Lytechinus pictus: one gene and its partner. The protein of the gene in region 1 interacts with the protein of each later gene in a biochemical or structural test. Links are inferred from orthologs where the notes say so. Each region holds a gene or a part of one and is shown in the gene's direction. Other genes may lie near its edges.

Evidence for each region. The genes of interacting proteins can lie anywhere in the genome.
Region 2: the proteins of ubiquitin-conjugating enzyme E2 N (region 1) and helicase-like transcription factor form a complex in vitro, tested with the Homo sapiens proteins (2 studies listed by BioGRID, with this or other methods). The link is inferred for Lytechinus pictus from reciprocal best matches to the Homo sapiens genes UBE2N and HLTF.

The regions. Positions count from the first base shown.
Region 1 is NC_087247.1:55,174,887-55,182,685, reverse strand, and holds the start of ubiquitin-conjugating enzyme E2 N, read left to right. Parts: upstream 1-4,380; 5' UTR 4,381-4,457; coding exon 4,458-4,484; intron 4,485-4,708; coding exon 4,709-4,853; intron 4,854-6,515; coding exon 6,516-6,656; intron 6,657-7,799. UniProt on the Homo sapiens protein: The UBE2V1-UBE2N and UBE2V2-UBE2N heterodimers catalyze the synthesis of non-canonical 'Lys-63'-linked polyubiquitin chains. This type of polyubiquitination does not lead to protein degradation by the proteasome.
Region 2 is NC_087260.1:4,433,470-4,440,843, forward strand, and holds the start of helicase-like transcription factor, read left to right. Parts: upstream 1-4,000; 5' UTR 4,001-4,233; intron 4,234-7,374. UniProt on the Homo sapiens protein: Has both helicase and E3 ubiquitin ligase activities. Possesses intrinsic ATP-dependent nucleosome-remodeling activity; This activity may be required for transcriptional activation or repression of specific target promoters.

The DNA.
Region 1 (7,799 bases):
CAAAGTTTATGAAGCTAACAATGTTCATTTTTTAGGCTTTGATTCTTGGACCACAATCTTCGCTGGAAACACAAAAAAGGCATTCTTTCCTTGTTCCCATAGTAGTTTTAACTCTTTCCTTTAACTTTTTTTCCTTAGCAGCTGAACTCTCCGAGAGAAATCATCACACACGAATAATTTATTTTCCTTCTCTTTCTTGAAGCATTCCACTAGAGCCTTTTTACTCTTTTCCTTTTCCACGGAAGATGAGAAGCCAACATAAATTGGTCTTGGACGTTGATTTTTTACCATGGATGTTGAAGACTTGTCATCATTCTGTGGTCCAGTTCTGTGAGTTCTCTGAATAGTAGCTGAGAAATTGGATGACTTCAGAAAATTGGATACAAACTTGCTGCAATCAGATCCCTCTTGCCCTTCAGGAACATTGTAGATGACCAAGTTGTTGCGCCTACTTCTGTTCTCTAAGTCATCAATCTTGGATTCTGCCAAGGCAAGCTTATTAACTTCAGCAACCTCCTCCTTCAGTGTATCCATCTTGAACTTCAAGGCTGCCTGTTCTTGTCTAAACAAATCAACAATACATTCGAGCCATGCCTGCTGCCGCTTTTCGAATTCTGCGAACCAAGGAGGGGGAGTATTCTCCACAGCAGCGCCAGAGCTAGCGGCAGCACTCTCGTTGTTGGCATCGTGCAAATCTCCCAAAATCTCTAAGCGATTCTCACTACTCAAAGAAGGTCTTTTCTTTACAGGTGACTCACCTGGATCCCTTGGGCTTTGGTGTTTTAGGTGACTCATGATGTTTAACAGAATATATCTAATGACAAAGGTCTGTGAAAGTGTAAAATGAATAAACTAAGGCTGAATATAAACAGACGTCCACCGTGCGAGACTCCTCAGCGTGCCGCCATATTCCGATCCCAAAAAAACCCACTTATTTTTGTCTTTTTTTTTTCAAACTGCATGGAGCCTGAAATAGGTCTGAAATGTTTTGATAATAAACGATGATCGAAATTGGATTTCTGTTAGCGAATTGCAATACTAGTTGAGTGACTTTCTGTACCACCAGGAACAAGGAAAAATTTATTGCCATTGGTTAGACCACCATCTTGACTTTTATCATGGAAATTAGTTGCACAGCCATATAATTAAAACCATTTTTTAACTGGTTTGGGCTGAGGTTGGGCAAATATTTTCAAAATCTAAATGAATAAAAAAAACAAGGTAGCAGGAACCAAGCAATCAAGCACTTATTGTAACAAGGGTTTCATTAAAAAAAAATTGTAAAATTTTTGAATGAAAATTCATTATTCAGTTTTTGTCTCACCTATATAGGCGCCGCTTTTCCGACGGCGGCGACGTCAACACCAAATCTTAATAATTTATAATTGAAGGTTCAGTTTTGAAATGACAGCATAACTTAGAAAATATATGGACCTAGTTCATGAAACTTATACATAAGGTTAATCAAGTATCACTGAACATCCTGCATGAGTTTCACATCACATGACCAAGGTCAAAGGTCATTTAGGGTCAATGAACTTTGGCCGAATTGGGGGTATCTGTTGAATTACCATCATAACTTTGAAAGTTTATGGATCTGATTCATGAAACTTGGACATAATAGTAATCAAGTATTACTGAACATCCTGTGCAAGTTTCAGGTCACATGATCAAGGTCAAAGGTCATTTAGGGTCAATGAACTTTGGCCAAATTGGGGTATTTGTTGAATTACAGCCATAAATTTGAAAGTGTGTTGGTCTAGTTCATAAAACTTGGACATAATAGTAATCAAGTATCACTGAACATCCTGTGCGAGTTTCAGGTCACATGATCAAGGTCAAAGGTCATGTAAGGTCAAAGAACTTTGGCCACGTTGGGGGTATTTGTTGAATTGCCATCATATCTCTATAAGTGTATTGGTCTAGTTCATAAAACGTGGAAATAAGAGTAACCAAGTATCACTGAACATCTTGTGCGAGTTATAGTAGTTTTCAAAATCAGCACTGCTGCTATATTGAATCGCGTGATGCAGGTGAGACGGCCAGAGGCATTCCACTTGTTGTATATTTTCTTTTATTAAAGGTCAAGTCCACCCCAGAAAAATGTTGATTGGAATAAATAGAGAAAATCAAACTAGCATAACGCTGAAAATTTCATCAAAATCTGATGTAAAATAAGAAAGTTGACATGTTAAAGTTTCGCTTATTTTTCACAAGACAGTGATATGCACATTTCAGTGGCATGCAAATGAGACAGTCGATGATGTCCCTCACTCACTGTTTTTTATTGTTTGAATTATACAATATTTCATTTTTTAAAGGTTTGACAATAAGGACCAACTTGACTAAACTATATGGTATTAAACAATGCTAATTCCACATGCTCAGGGAGGAATTAATCGTTGCTTCACTTGACAATGAGGAGAAAATTAGAATATTTCATATAAAATACAAAAGAAATAGTGAGTGGATGATGTCATCAGTCTCCTCATTTGCATTCTGATCAGGATGTGCATATAACTGTTTTCTGAAATTAAGCAAAACTTTAAAATATCATAACTTTCTTATTTAACATCCAATTTTTATGAAATTTTTAGTGTTATGCTTGTTGGATTTTTTTCTTTTTATTCAAATTAATTTTTTTGGGGGTAGACTTTTCCTTAAACAAAAACTGATTACATGACCAATTAGTACTGATTGCGATCAATTACTTTCAAACACTTATTCACTGACACTTTAACAATTCTAACTTTGAGTATCCTCCTATTTCATGAAAATAAACAATAAATTCATGGTTATAAATCTTCTAAAATTTATTAAAAATTGAGTCATAAGCTTTTGGAGTGGATTTTTTCAAAATGAAAATTTGGAAAATGATTTTTGTGCAATCACATTTTGTACCAAATGCCTGTGTTTAGCTTTATTGTCTCATTTACAGGAATTGCAGATTTTTGGTAAAGTTGAATCATTCAAATGTTGCTGTAATTTTGGTATAAATAGGAAGTGAATACTATCCACTTTCTCAAATCATGGACCATAATATAAACACTTCTTTACATAATAATGTAAATGGATAAAAATATATGGCAAGTGAGGTATAATCAGTAATCTTTCTAAGTTAGTTGTATGCCCTAGGCCTAAACAGTTATGTTGTGGAAGATATGAATTGAAAAATATGCTTTACATTACAAATTTGTGATTTTACATGAAAATATTTCTATCATAAGAAAAAAAACCCACTCAGTTTTGTGATTTTTTTTTCTTTTTTATAACACCCATTCCAAAGCACGGAATGGGGTGAAATTTGCTGGATAAAATCTCTGTCTGTATCTGATATTAATTTAGATTGTGTAAGATGAATGTAACTCACAGTATTTAGTGCTCAAAGAACCCCTTTTGAAGAAATAGAAACATATTGCTGAGATAAAGCACTAGATATCTTAGATTTGAATACAGTGTGTTTGAATTTGACAGAGAATCTGCAGTTGCGAAAAGATTCAACGGCTGCAACACCTCTGTAACATTGGAATGCTAGGATAGATGATTGTATTGTATTGTATTTATTTTCCATTCATAAAAACATGCAAAATACAAACAAAATACATCAGATATAATTACAAAATAAAATGAATACATATGAATGGCTGGATTGCCCATTCAGAGTGGTAATTTTTACCACTCTGTTCTGCCTAGGGGTCCAGAACATAATAAAATAGATCAGATTGTATTATAAACATCATTAACAATAGAAAAGAACGACATTAAACAAAATATAAAGTAATGAAAGCTAGTCAGTAGACATAAAACTAAATATAAAGTTACGATTTCAAGCTACAAGCAAATACCCCCCCCCCCCCTTCCCGGCAAAACAATGCGTTGCTCAGATATCAATGTACTTCGAAACCTTAGAGCTCAAAGAAGTAATAAATGTAGTTAAGTTTTTGATAAATTTCATATCTAAAGGTAAGTCATTATATAGGCGTGAACCTCTATATATAAACATTCTACGGCAATTTTCTGTATTTGGTTTTATGATACTTACGTATGACCATTTACCAAAGCTTTGGCCAGGCTTTAAATTGACAATTTCCCCTGCATGGATAGTGTTTTAAATAAGTACTCGGTCACCGTCGAGGGCCAAATCAGTGAACCTTATATTTTAAGCTTGACCCTAACCCAAGTGGCAATCAGGGAAGCATTTCATCAATATTTTCGTCTGACAAAATGTTCTATTTAGTTCTCATTTAGGACGACATTCAAGTTTCAACTTCTCATTATTATCGTTGCAATGTTGTAAATATTCATTTACAACTAAATCTATTGGAATTATTAATTTGTTTACTGTTTGTTTATCTCTACCTTTCTACAACTACCAAAAATAGGAGACACAGCGTCTCAATACTGAGCCTGTACCAGGAATAAAAGCAACCCCAGATGAAGCAAATTGCAGACTATTCATGGTGACAATAGATGGACCCAAAGATGTAAGTATTGCCAAGGAGTGGAATGCTACTTCATGTATTTTCTCACTTTCTCTAATATGGTAAAGCCATTAGGTCTCATCCTATTACATCTATGACCAAATTGTCAAATAATAACTTGGTCTATATTTGCCTTTCATTTAGAATGCCTTGTCATCTGCCTGTATGATAATTCCGAATTAATTTTTACTAATGATTATCTTATTTATTTCTCCCTCTCTCATCAGTCTCCTTTTGAAAATGGGACTTTTAAACTAGAACTTTTTCTTCCTGAAGAATATCCAATGGCAGCACCAAAAGTACGGTTTATGACAAAAATTTATCATCCTAATGTGGATAAATTGGGACGTATCTGCCTTGATATACTCAAAGGTAAGTACAACTATTTTACTAATAAATCTGCATGCTTTTTTGTTCATTTTTTTTGTCTCCCCTTCCCCTGGCAAAATTTCATAGTATACTTTGTATTTATGTGGCTACATCATTATTGTATGCACTCTAACTGCCCCATTTTAAAGTGATTTCTTTGGAATTAGTCCAAAGGTGTATCTTTAAAACTGAACCTTTGGTGAGGCTACCATCAGCATTTGGTCTTTTAGAGGTTACTGTGGAAGATTTGTGTACACTCTTAAGACTGCCTTTCTTGACAGATTACTGCAAAATAGAGGTGTATCGTGGTGTAATTTAAGATGCTGCCACCAGTGTTCTGTTGTTGGTAAAAGTTCATATCGTAGATGAAAAATGTCATGGGGAGATTATTTACCCTCTTATGAATATCAGTGCCAGCGATTGATCCTTATCTAGAGCTGCAGAATGTGTCAAACTGAAATATTGTAAAAACAAGGGATCACATCATTTTTGTCTCGCCTGCATTTCAGAGCGAGACTATAGACGCCGCTTTTCCGGCAGCGGCGGCGTCAACATTGAAATCTTAACCAAGGTTAAGTTTTTGAAAAGTCATCATAAGAAAGTATGTGGACCTAGTTCATGAAACTGAGATATAAGGGTAATAGTGTATCACTGAAGATCATGCCAGAGTTTCAGGTCACATGACCAAGGTCAAAGGTCATTTAGGGTCAATGAAATTTTATGATGTTGGGGGTATTTGTGAATTTGTCATCTTAACTCTAAAAGTTATATATATTTCATGAAACTTGGTCATAAGAGTAGCCATGTATCCCTAAAAATTCTGTGCACATTTCAGGTCACATGACCAAGATCAAAGGTCATTTAAGGTCAATGAACTTTGGCCATGTTCAGGGTATTTGTTGAATTGGCATCATAACTTCGAAAGGTTATGGATCTCCACATGTAGTTCATAAAACAGACATAAGGGCAATCAAGTATGAATGATTGTTTTGCACACATCTTAGGTCACATGATCATGGTCAAATGTCATTTTTGGTCAATGGACATACTGGACTGTGGACATAGTATTTTATTATCACATGACTATGAGTTAGTTCTTTTGTGAATAAAAAATTATTAAATATCTGTTTTCAAAGTCAGCACTGCTGCTATATCGAATCACGTAATGCAGATGAGACTGCCAGAGGCATTCCACTTGTAGTTTAAATTATGAATAGATTTGTTAATTGATGACTATACAATATACATTCCATTGTGAGGGGAGATATGTCCTGGATCACTTAATTATTCTCAATTCATTGACATTAAACTCTCTTTTTTTCAACTCACATATTTTCTAAAGCTCTAAACTCATCTACACAGTTAGAGTGTGCTCTCATTATTCTTGAGGGAGTATCATTGTCTTTTATTTAAGCAAATTGTCAGCATTCATGCTTTCTTTATCAGGTAAAAAAAATCACCACCATATATCAAAAGTCAATCGAGTCACTCCTGCCTATCCAGTAATCTGGTGAAGACATTTTGTTTAGAAATGAATGATCATTGAGGCAATTGTCTTGGTGGTGTATTTCGGTATATGATATTTAATAGTCTCAAGGTTTGAAAGTATTCAGTGTAAAAAAATGTACATTAAATGGCAGGATAATCCTTCTTTGATGTTTGCAGACAAATGGAGCCCTGCTCTTCAAATCCGAACAGTGTTGTTGTCAATTCAAGCCCTTTTGAGTGCCCCTAACCCTGATGACCCATTAGCAAATGATGTTGCAGAGAGTTGGAAGTTAAATGAGGCTCAGGCAATTAAAACAGGTGAGTATTTGAATGTCTCATGCATCTCATACCTGATTATTGAAGTGTCGCATCCGATTACTTCAGCCCCCTTGCCACTCAATTCAATTTCCAAGTATGCAATATCACAGAAATCTATTAAAAGAGATCAACCACTTACTTAAATAACTAAGCTATACCTGAATTAGAATGACTAAATACAAGAAATTTTAAGTCCACTTCTATGGACTTCAAGTCAATTGTTCATGCAATCTGTAATGATGATAGTGAATAGCTGATCATCTAAGATCATCCCATACAAATTGAATTACATGTATTACTATTAATATTTTCCATCATTTCCCAGCTTTTTCTACTTTTTAGCTCATCTGGCCCTTGCTGTGGCGTGGTGTCTGTCGTCTGCCGTCCGTCCACAATCAAAATGCTTCTTCGCTATTTCAAGTCCGATTTCAATTCTGTTTGCTTTATATGATAGCACTAGGTGGGGGGATTCAAAACTTCTACACAGAATTTGAAACTCAATAAATATGCTTATTTATGCACACTTTTATAAATTCACAAAAAAATGCTTCTCCTTCTTTATTTGTTGACAGATTTTGAATTTTTTGCTTCCATCTGGTAGAGCTTGATGAGGTTCACCAAACTTCTACACAGAATTTTGAAATTTTGAGTAGAACAATTTTTATGCTAATTTATGCGTATTTTTAAAAATTCACCTAAAATGCTTCTTCTTTTTTAATTGTAGACCGATTTTTATTTTATTTTTCCATCTGGTAGAACTTCATGAGGTTGTCATTGACCAAACTTCTTCACAGAATTTTGAAATTTTCAGTAGAAAATTATTTATGCGAAATTTATTCATAAATCACAGAAAATGCCTCTTCTTTATTTGTTGACCAATTTTGATTTTTTTTCTTCCATCTGGTAGAGCTGCATGAGAGGTTCACCAAACTTGTACACAAAAATTTTGTTTAGAAAATTATTTTTGCTAATTTATGCAAAATTTATTCATAAATCACAAAAAGTGTATTTTCTTCTTCATTTGTTGATCAATTTCAATTTTGTTTGCTTTATATGATAGCTCGAGGTGGTGATATAAAATTTAACACAGAATTTTGAAACTCATTAAATATGCTAATTTATTCATATATTTTCAAAACTCAC
Region 2 (7,374 bases), on another chromosome or scaffold:
AAAACTCCTAAAAACAGTGAAATTTTTTTTATTCTTATATGATGAATGAAAATGTGAGAGTCGCAGGTGCGGGAGGTCCTGATATGTCGTCGTGACAATTTTTTCAAGAATGAATATTTGTTGTGTGAATGAATTAGCGAGGGCATACCTTGAGATAGCAGCCTGCCCTAACTCCGCTCACCCTGATTGTAGTATGATAATCATTGTAAGAGTATAGGGCCTAAACGGAATTGTCATAATTTTTCAAGTAGACTTTTCATTAGAATCTGATTTTTTGTGTCATTTCCTCTATTTTGATGGTGCTGAACATGAATTCGCTTGTTGCCAGTTTCATAAATGCCTCCTTCCGCCGTTGCCATGGCAACTGATTAATATGTTTTTAAAAATAACATATTGAGCCTATATATATGGCATATTACCCTGTCAATTTAAATGGTCCAATCTATCATTCTTAAGCCTTCCAAATTCAATTTCTAGATATAGGCCTATCAAGTCATCAAAGCTTTTTGCGAAAGATCCATTGCCATGGTAACGGCTTATCTTTCCCGCAGAAAAATACAATTGTCTTGATTGCCTGCAGAGACAGGGCGCCGCTTTTTCCGACTGCGCGGCGTCGTAAACATTGAAATCTTAAAACAGGATAAGTTTGTGAAATGTAATCATAAGTTTGAAATAGGCCTATAGGTTTCTATAGCTTTCATGAAACTTAGAAATAAGGGAGTCAGTGAAAATCCTATAGTGAGTTTCAGGTCATGCCACGGTCAAAGGTAATTTAAAGTCAATGAACTTTGGCCATGTACGTTGGGGGCATTTATTGAATTGCCATCAAAAATCAACATTATGGTGGGAAAAGATGAATGGTGGAAAATGACAATGAAAATGCCAAAAATCTACATAGGTTCGACCAACTCATTTAAATTAAATTTCGAAAACAACAGAGTGTTCTGCATGGATATAAGTTCATTTGAATGCATGGTAATGGTATGTTGCCATGGTAACGCCTGATTACTCTACTAATTCAACTCGTTAATTTAATATGAGATGAAAATTAAGTGTAAACAATGTAGAAATGTCTGAATTTATTTCAGGTCATAATTCAGTATAGGCCTACCTCATAAGAAACATCGCTTCAATAAGAATAGTGGTAATATTTGCTTGACAATACAACTTTCTATAAGATAAATCAGCTCGATTGATCAGCCTATAATATTATGCTCAATATGTTAGCTATAGAGCAGATTATAACTGTAATACATGAATAATAAAGTAAGTCTTAAAAGAGATCGAGTGTCATATGAATTCATGAACAAATTTTTTTTGCTTGTCAAATTTTCCAGCCCCTTGCCCCCCCTACTTTTTGGGAGAGATTTCCGCCCCTGATTCAGAGAAAAAACGAAACATTTTAAGCACTTTTGTAATGATATTTTATCTTACAAACCGAGAATGACTTGAAAACAAGACATGAATAATGAAACAAACGGGCAATGCGGACGCGAAGCGCAGGCTGAATAGTTATTCTGTTCTAAATGAAGGGTACAGGTATTTGTCGGTCCCCCAACTCTCATTTTCGTCTTGTCTTCTTCCTTTTATTTTCCTTCCTGATAATCTTTTTTTTTTCATTTTATTATTTTCCTATTCCGGCCTTGATTGATACCTCATCCGTTGTTGTCTATTTTGCGACGCGGCCATTTTTTCTTCTTTATACTCTTTTACATTTTCCTCTCTCACTTCTCCTTCGATTTCATCTCTATCTCCCCCTCTCTCTCCCGCTCTCCCTTTAGCTGAGGGTGACGGCAAATAAAAGCCCCTCGGTCGTCAACGATTTATCATGGAGCAGGCAGATAAGCTGACGTTCACAGAAATGTTGAAAGATGATCAAAAGAGTTTGTCACTGTTCACCAGAAATATTTCGAGATTTAATTGTAATCATTGTCCCGGCCCAAAGTGTTTGGGAAAAAGTTTTACAAAAATTATCTTGCTCTATAACGAATCGTAGGGTCATCAATGCTAAAAAAATGAGACTTCGATGTTTATCAATACCGACGTACAAACAACTATATAGGGATAGTTTTTTTGTTTGTTCTGGGGTGAAGCCCCTCCCCCGGTTCCGCGGCCCCTGGCATGTCTTCTAGGCTATTATCGATCGTAATGCTGGTTTTTTTTAATGTGGCCTATTCATATTTTGATGATTACCAATATTATTTACTCTGAGTATGAAATTTAGGGATAATTCAATTGGAATGAAACAAGGATTTTATACACGTCACCTCAAATAGATGTGTAATTAGGCCTATGTGATAACTTATGAGCCTAATGATACATATATTTTATGTTAGGCCCATTATCTGCATGCCTATCTGATTCATATCTATAAATCTAAATAAAATAAAGAATTTAAATGAATAAATTTTAAAAAATCCCACTAATGGGCCTATATATAGGCCTTTTGAGCTCGGTCAGTAGTTTCCTGATTGATTTGAATAGATGAAACTTTGTCATGTTTCTGGAGATTTCCTTTTTTTTATTATGTTTTGTTTGAAAACGGAACAGGATTTAAATTGACCAATTTATTTTGAACAAATAGAATTTTCTTGAGTGCCTTTTTCCCTCTCCTATTATTGACGGGAGTTAGAATATGAACTTAAACCAGCGAGGTGATTAAATATTATTGTTGTTTTTCAAGATGAGCTTTTTTTTATGAAAGTCAATATAAGGGAATCCCCCCAAAAAATATTATCGGAGTTCAGGGTTTAAGGTTTATGCACATCAACATTTCACATTTTCAAAAAATCAACAATTCAATACAAACAATAATATTATACAATACATGTTTTCATAGATAAGCATAAATAAACATCGTAAACATATGAAATGTATACATAATAATAACAATAGAAAAAAGTACTAGAATGTATTCTTGTAATTGGTTCTAAAATAATGACAAAGAAAGAAAATGAGAGATGTGGATATGATGGAGCTAAAAGTAAAAGCAAAGCTTGTTGGTTGAAGGCTCCAAAAAATATGCAGTGAGAGTCCCATAAAATATCAATACGACAAGAAAAAGTAGGGGAATAAATAAAGAGTAAACGAAAAAGTAAACAAAAAAGTGGGATACACGAATACATACTTGTAAATGATGAGTCAAGACAGTGTCAAAGCAGCAAATTTGAATTAGAACCTGAAGGAGGATGCAAATAATTATTTATAATAGTAAAAAAAAAATAATAATGGAAATCAATGGTCAATGGCATCAGGGGGCAATGAGCGGAAGGGACGACAAGGGGGGGGGGGCACTCAAGTTGGATGAGTGGCGAAAATGATTACTTTGAAAATATGTATTTTATGAAAAAATACGGAATAAAGTTTAGAGGATTAAAAAAAATGATAGGCCTATAGGCGATGATCAGTAACAAAAAGTTTGAGGCCCTAAAAATAATTGCACTTGGCGAAAGGAACATTTTATACAGTGTATAGTACTATAAAACTTGTAAACAATACATTTAATCACAACAAAATTACACACTTTCTCAATCAGAAGTGCAAGAAAAAGGGTAGAAAAAAAAAGATAAGTATCAGGCCTTATAAACTACATGTATGAATGCGCGCGCTAAGTGAGCGGAGTTAGGGCAGTGGTGAGCGGCGAATGGGACAGGCGCAAGGGGTGCCGAAAACGGCGAATTACACAGCGGTGCTTTGAAGACATATAATTATTATCCTATGAAACGATTTTCCAGTATTTTCTCTTTCAGGTGACATAGAAGTAAGGGTATCATAGCTAATTGAATGAAACATAAAGGAAAATACGTAAACTGAGCGACGATTGGGCAGCGTACGGTACCTCGATTTGAGGATAAAAGAAGAAAAAAAGGTAACTGTCGGATAAAGTGCCGGATAAAATGGGACTTTTATAGGGCCTACTGATAATGTCCGACAAGTCCTTTCGTGAAACGCTCAAACGGCTCGCTGATCCCCTTATCCGGATTTACGGGGAGGGCGCTGTATATATACGAGCGGGAAAATTTGATGTTTTGCACGATCGACTAGGGAGCGCGATCGCGATCGAGCGCGAGCGAGCAGCGCATGCAGGCTGCGCTGCTGCGCTAGCTAGCTAGCTAGCTAGGCGCTAGTGCGCGCTATAGCGCGATAGTATAGCCACAGCGTCGATACCGAGGAACTACTGAAACGAGGGGGAGAGAGAGTCAACATTTTGTATTTGTAAACATCCTTTGATTGGTAAGATGCTCGTCTTTGCCATAAAACTTGTTACAGTTGCTTGAATTAAAATGAGTCGTTCTTTTTATAAAAGTTTTATTCTTTCAGAAATTCAGGATAAATACCGGTACATGAATGTTGACCGGCCAGACAGTTCAGATCAATCAATGGTGCCTCACACCTTGGCCTTGTCTGCGCACCCATTCACTTAACGTTACTCGTTAGACCTATAGTCCGGTCTGTTAGCGTCAAAAACACCCTACTTGTGGACACGGTGGACAAAAGCATGATTTTTTCTCCAGACCTTTGATTTTGTATAAGAATTAAAAATGGGGTATGCTCCAAAAAATCTGGCTGCAGGAACAGAGAAAAAATGGGTGAAAAAGGTCAGAATTTATGAGTTTAGATTGGTCTGATATATAGACTAGCGCTAGTGCAAAACTCAATAGCAGTGCATTATTTTGCATTGGTTTAGTTCTTAAATTCAGACCCTTTTTGAACAGATGTTCTGTTTGTCCTCACATCTCAATGCACCAAAGATCTGAATGCAGATGCTAAACAAGCCGAAGGGTGGCGGTGGAGGGGGTTGGATGTTGGTATGTATGTACATATTTTGGTCTTGGGGTAAAGATGTGCAAAACACATTTTTTGCATGTGTTGGAAATGGTGTTGCCATGGTAACAGTGTATTATGGCCAAAATAAGGTAAAAATCTTGCAGTTAGAACTACTTCCTCTGTTTTCATCCGATTCTCATGAAATTCGGCACACACATTGGTCTTGAGGTGAAGATGTCTAAGACAGATTTTTGTGTGTCTTTTAGAAATCTCGTTGCCATGGTAACAACATATTATATGGTGAAAATTGGGAAAAAACTTACAATTCAAACTGCTTCATCAGTTTTCAATCAATTCACATGCAATTCAGCACACACATTGGTATTAAAGTAAAGATGTACAAGGCACTTTTTGTGTGTTTCAGAAATTGTGTTGCCATGGTAACAACATATTATATGGCAAGATTTAGGTAAACACCTTGCAATTTGAACTACTTCATCAGTTTTGAAACAATTATCATGAAATACGGCTCACACATTGGCCTTGAGGTAAAGATGTGCAAGAACTTTTTTTTTGCATTTGTCAGAGAGTGCATTGCCAGGGTAACCACATATGATAGCTAGAAATGCAGGAAAATTCATCGTGGATCAATCTACTTCTCAGTTTTCAGCCTGTGCTCATAAAATTTGACACAAATATTCATTTTGGGTAAAGATTCATATTCAGTGTTAAAGGGGAGGGAATCCAGCCTTGGTCATAACATGTTGTGTGGAAAAGGAGAAAAATAAGAATGGTGAAAGTTTGAAAGAAATCGGACAAGCAAAATTTATGGCTGCTTTAAAATTAAGATCCCTATAAAGACTACTAGTATGTAGATTTCAAATTGGCAACTGGGTAAGTAAATTATGACAAGGGGCGAGGCCGCAAGGACAACTTTCCCATAGGGCTTGTACTTAATTATCAGGATTTTTGGTTTCTCCTAAATCCCTATTCCATTGGGGCCGTAATATGAACCTGGTAGTATATTGTTTTATGTCCTCATGAAAGAAAGATATAATATAAAATAATATAAAACTTTTGAAAAAGACATTTTAGCCAATTAATTATTCCTGTACATGGAAGAGTGGTCCTTGCCTTACATCACGATGACATCACATATGCGGCCAATTTGAAGTCTTCATGGGTATAGTGATTACCAATGTTTACAACTTTTATATATTCACAACTTTCTTATGGTTTGTCCGATATTGTTCAAACTTTGACCTATAAACTTGTCTGATTTTTCCTTTTCCTCTAAAAACAAGTGTTTATTTGGGTTGGATTCCCCTTTAACGTCATATAATAGCGCAGGGTATTAATCACCTTCAATAATATTTATAGGTTCTTTTTTTGGGGGGGGGGCAGAGGAGGTCCTTAAAAACTGACAACATAAAAATATAGAAGGTTAAAGGCCATGACCATTAGGAACTTAAACACTCTTAAAAAAAACACCCCTTTCCATTTTTTTTTTTTTTGGGGGGAGGGGGGGCTTTAGAAAATTGCCACATAAAGAGTAAAAGGAAATTATTACTAGGAACTTAACCCCCCCCCCCCAAAAAAAAAGGGGGGGAGAAAAATCCTTTACACTTCAGCATATTAATTTAAAGCCTAAAACATTCTGCTTTGATAAAAGATTGTTTTCGGTGCCCAATTAATCAATGTTTTATTTATCTTCTTTTGCGCAGTCTTTGTTCATTTCAGTTCTTACTCTGACATTCTTACATCACTCTTTGTACTTTTGATCTTTACCATACCTTCTTGATTTGTTTCCCCTCTCCCCCTCTTTGTCTCCCTCTCTAAGTACATTTTTCTCTGCTATTTTAATTATTTATCTAGCAACAATTATTCCATTTTGAATGCTTACACCTTCACCGAAATATAACATGACATTCATTTTTTTCATAATCTTTTAAACTCCATTTTGGCTACACTCTGTCCTGAATAATACTATTAGCAATAGTTAATGTCTAGTTTAAAGAATTGAAGAAATGACTGTCATGATATTATATTTTGGTAAAGGTGCATCAACTTCATATTAACAAGGTTGCAGCATTCAGAATGGAATAACTGTTGCTTGACAAAAATGGATTTAGTTATTTTCCAAAAATCCTCTGTGAAAATTTTAGTTTTATCACTGAGTTTTCCCATTCCTGCAGTTACCACAATCTGAAAGGGAAATGACTATAATATAATTATATGTAGAGAAATAAAGGTCATCATTTGCTCAATGTACAGTGAATAAGTTTGTCTTTACTCCAATGGAAAATTATTTGCATTTTTTAAAATGACAGTCAGAGTTTGCATCCAACAATTTTGCTACTGAAACATAATATTCATTTTTTGACAATGGGAGATGTAGGATAAAGCAGGGGCTGTCACAGAAATATACTGAAAAAATTAAATGAAAGAAAATAGAAGGCTAAAATCTATTGTGCACATATGGATATTTTTGACATGGTATGTTCTTGAGTCATGGATTTGCAAGTGAATTTCTAAAACAAGTGCAGAGATTTTTGTATGTATTTATATTTCTATAATTAGTTGCATGATTAAAGGTACACTTTAAAA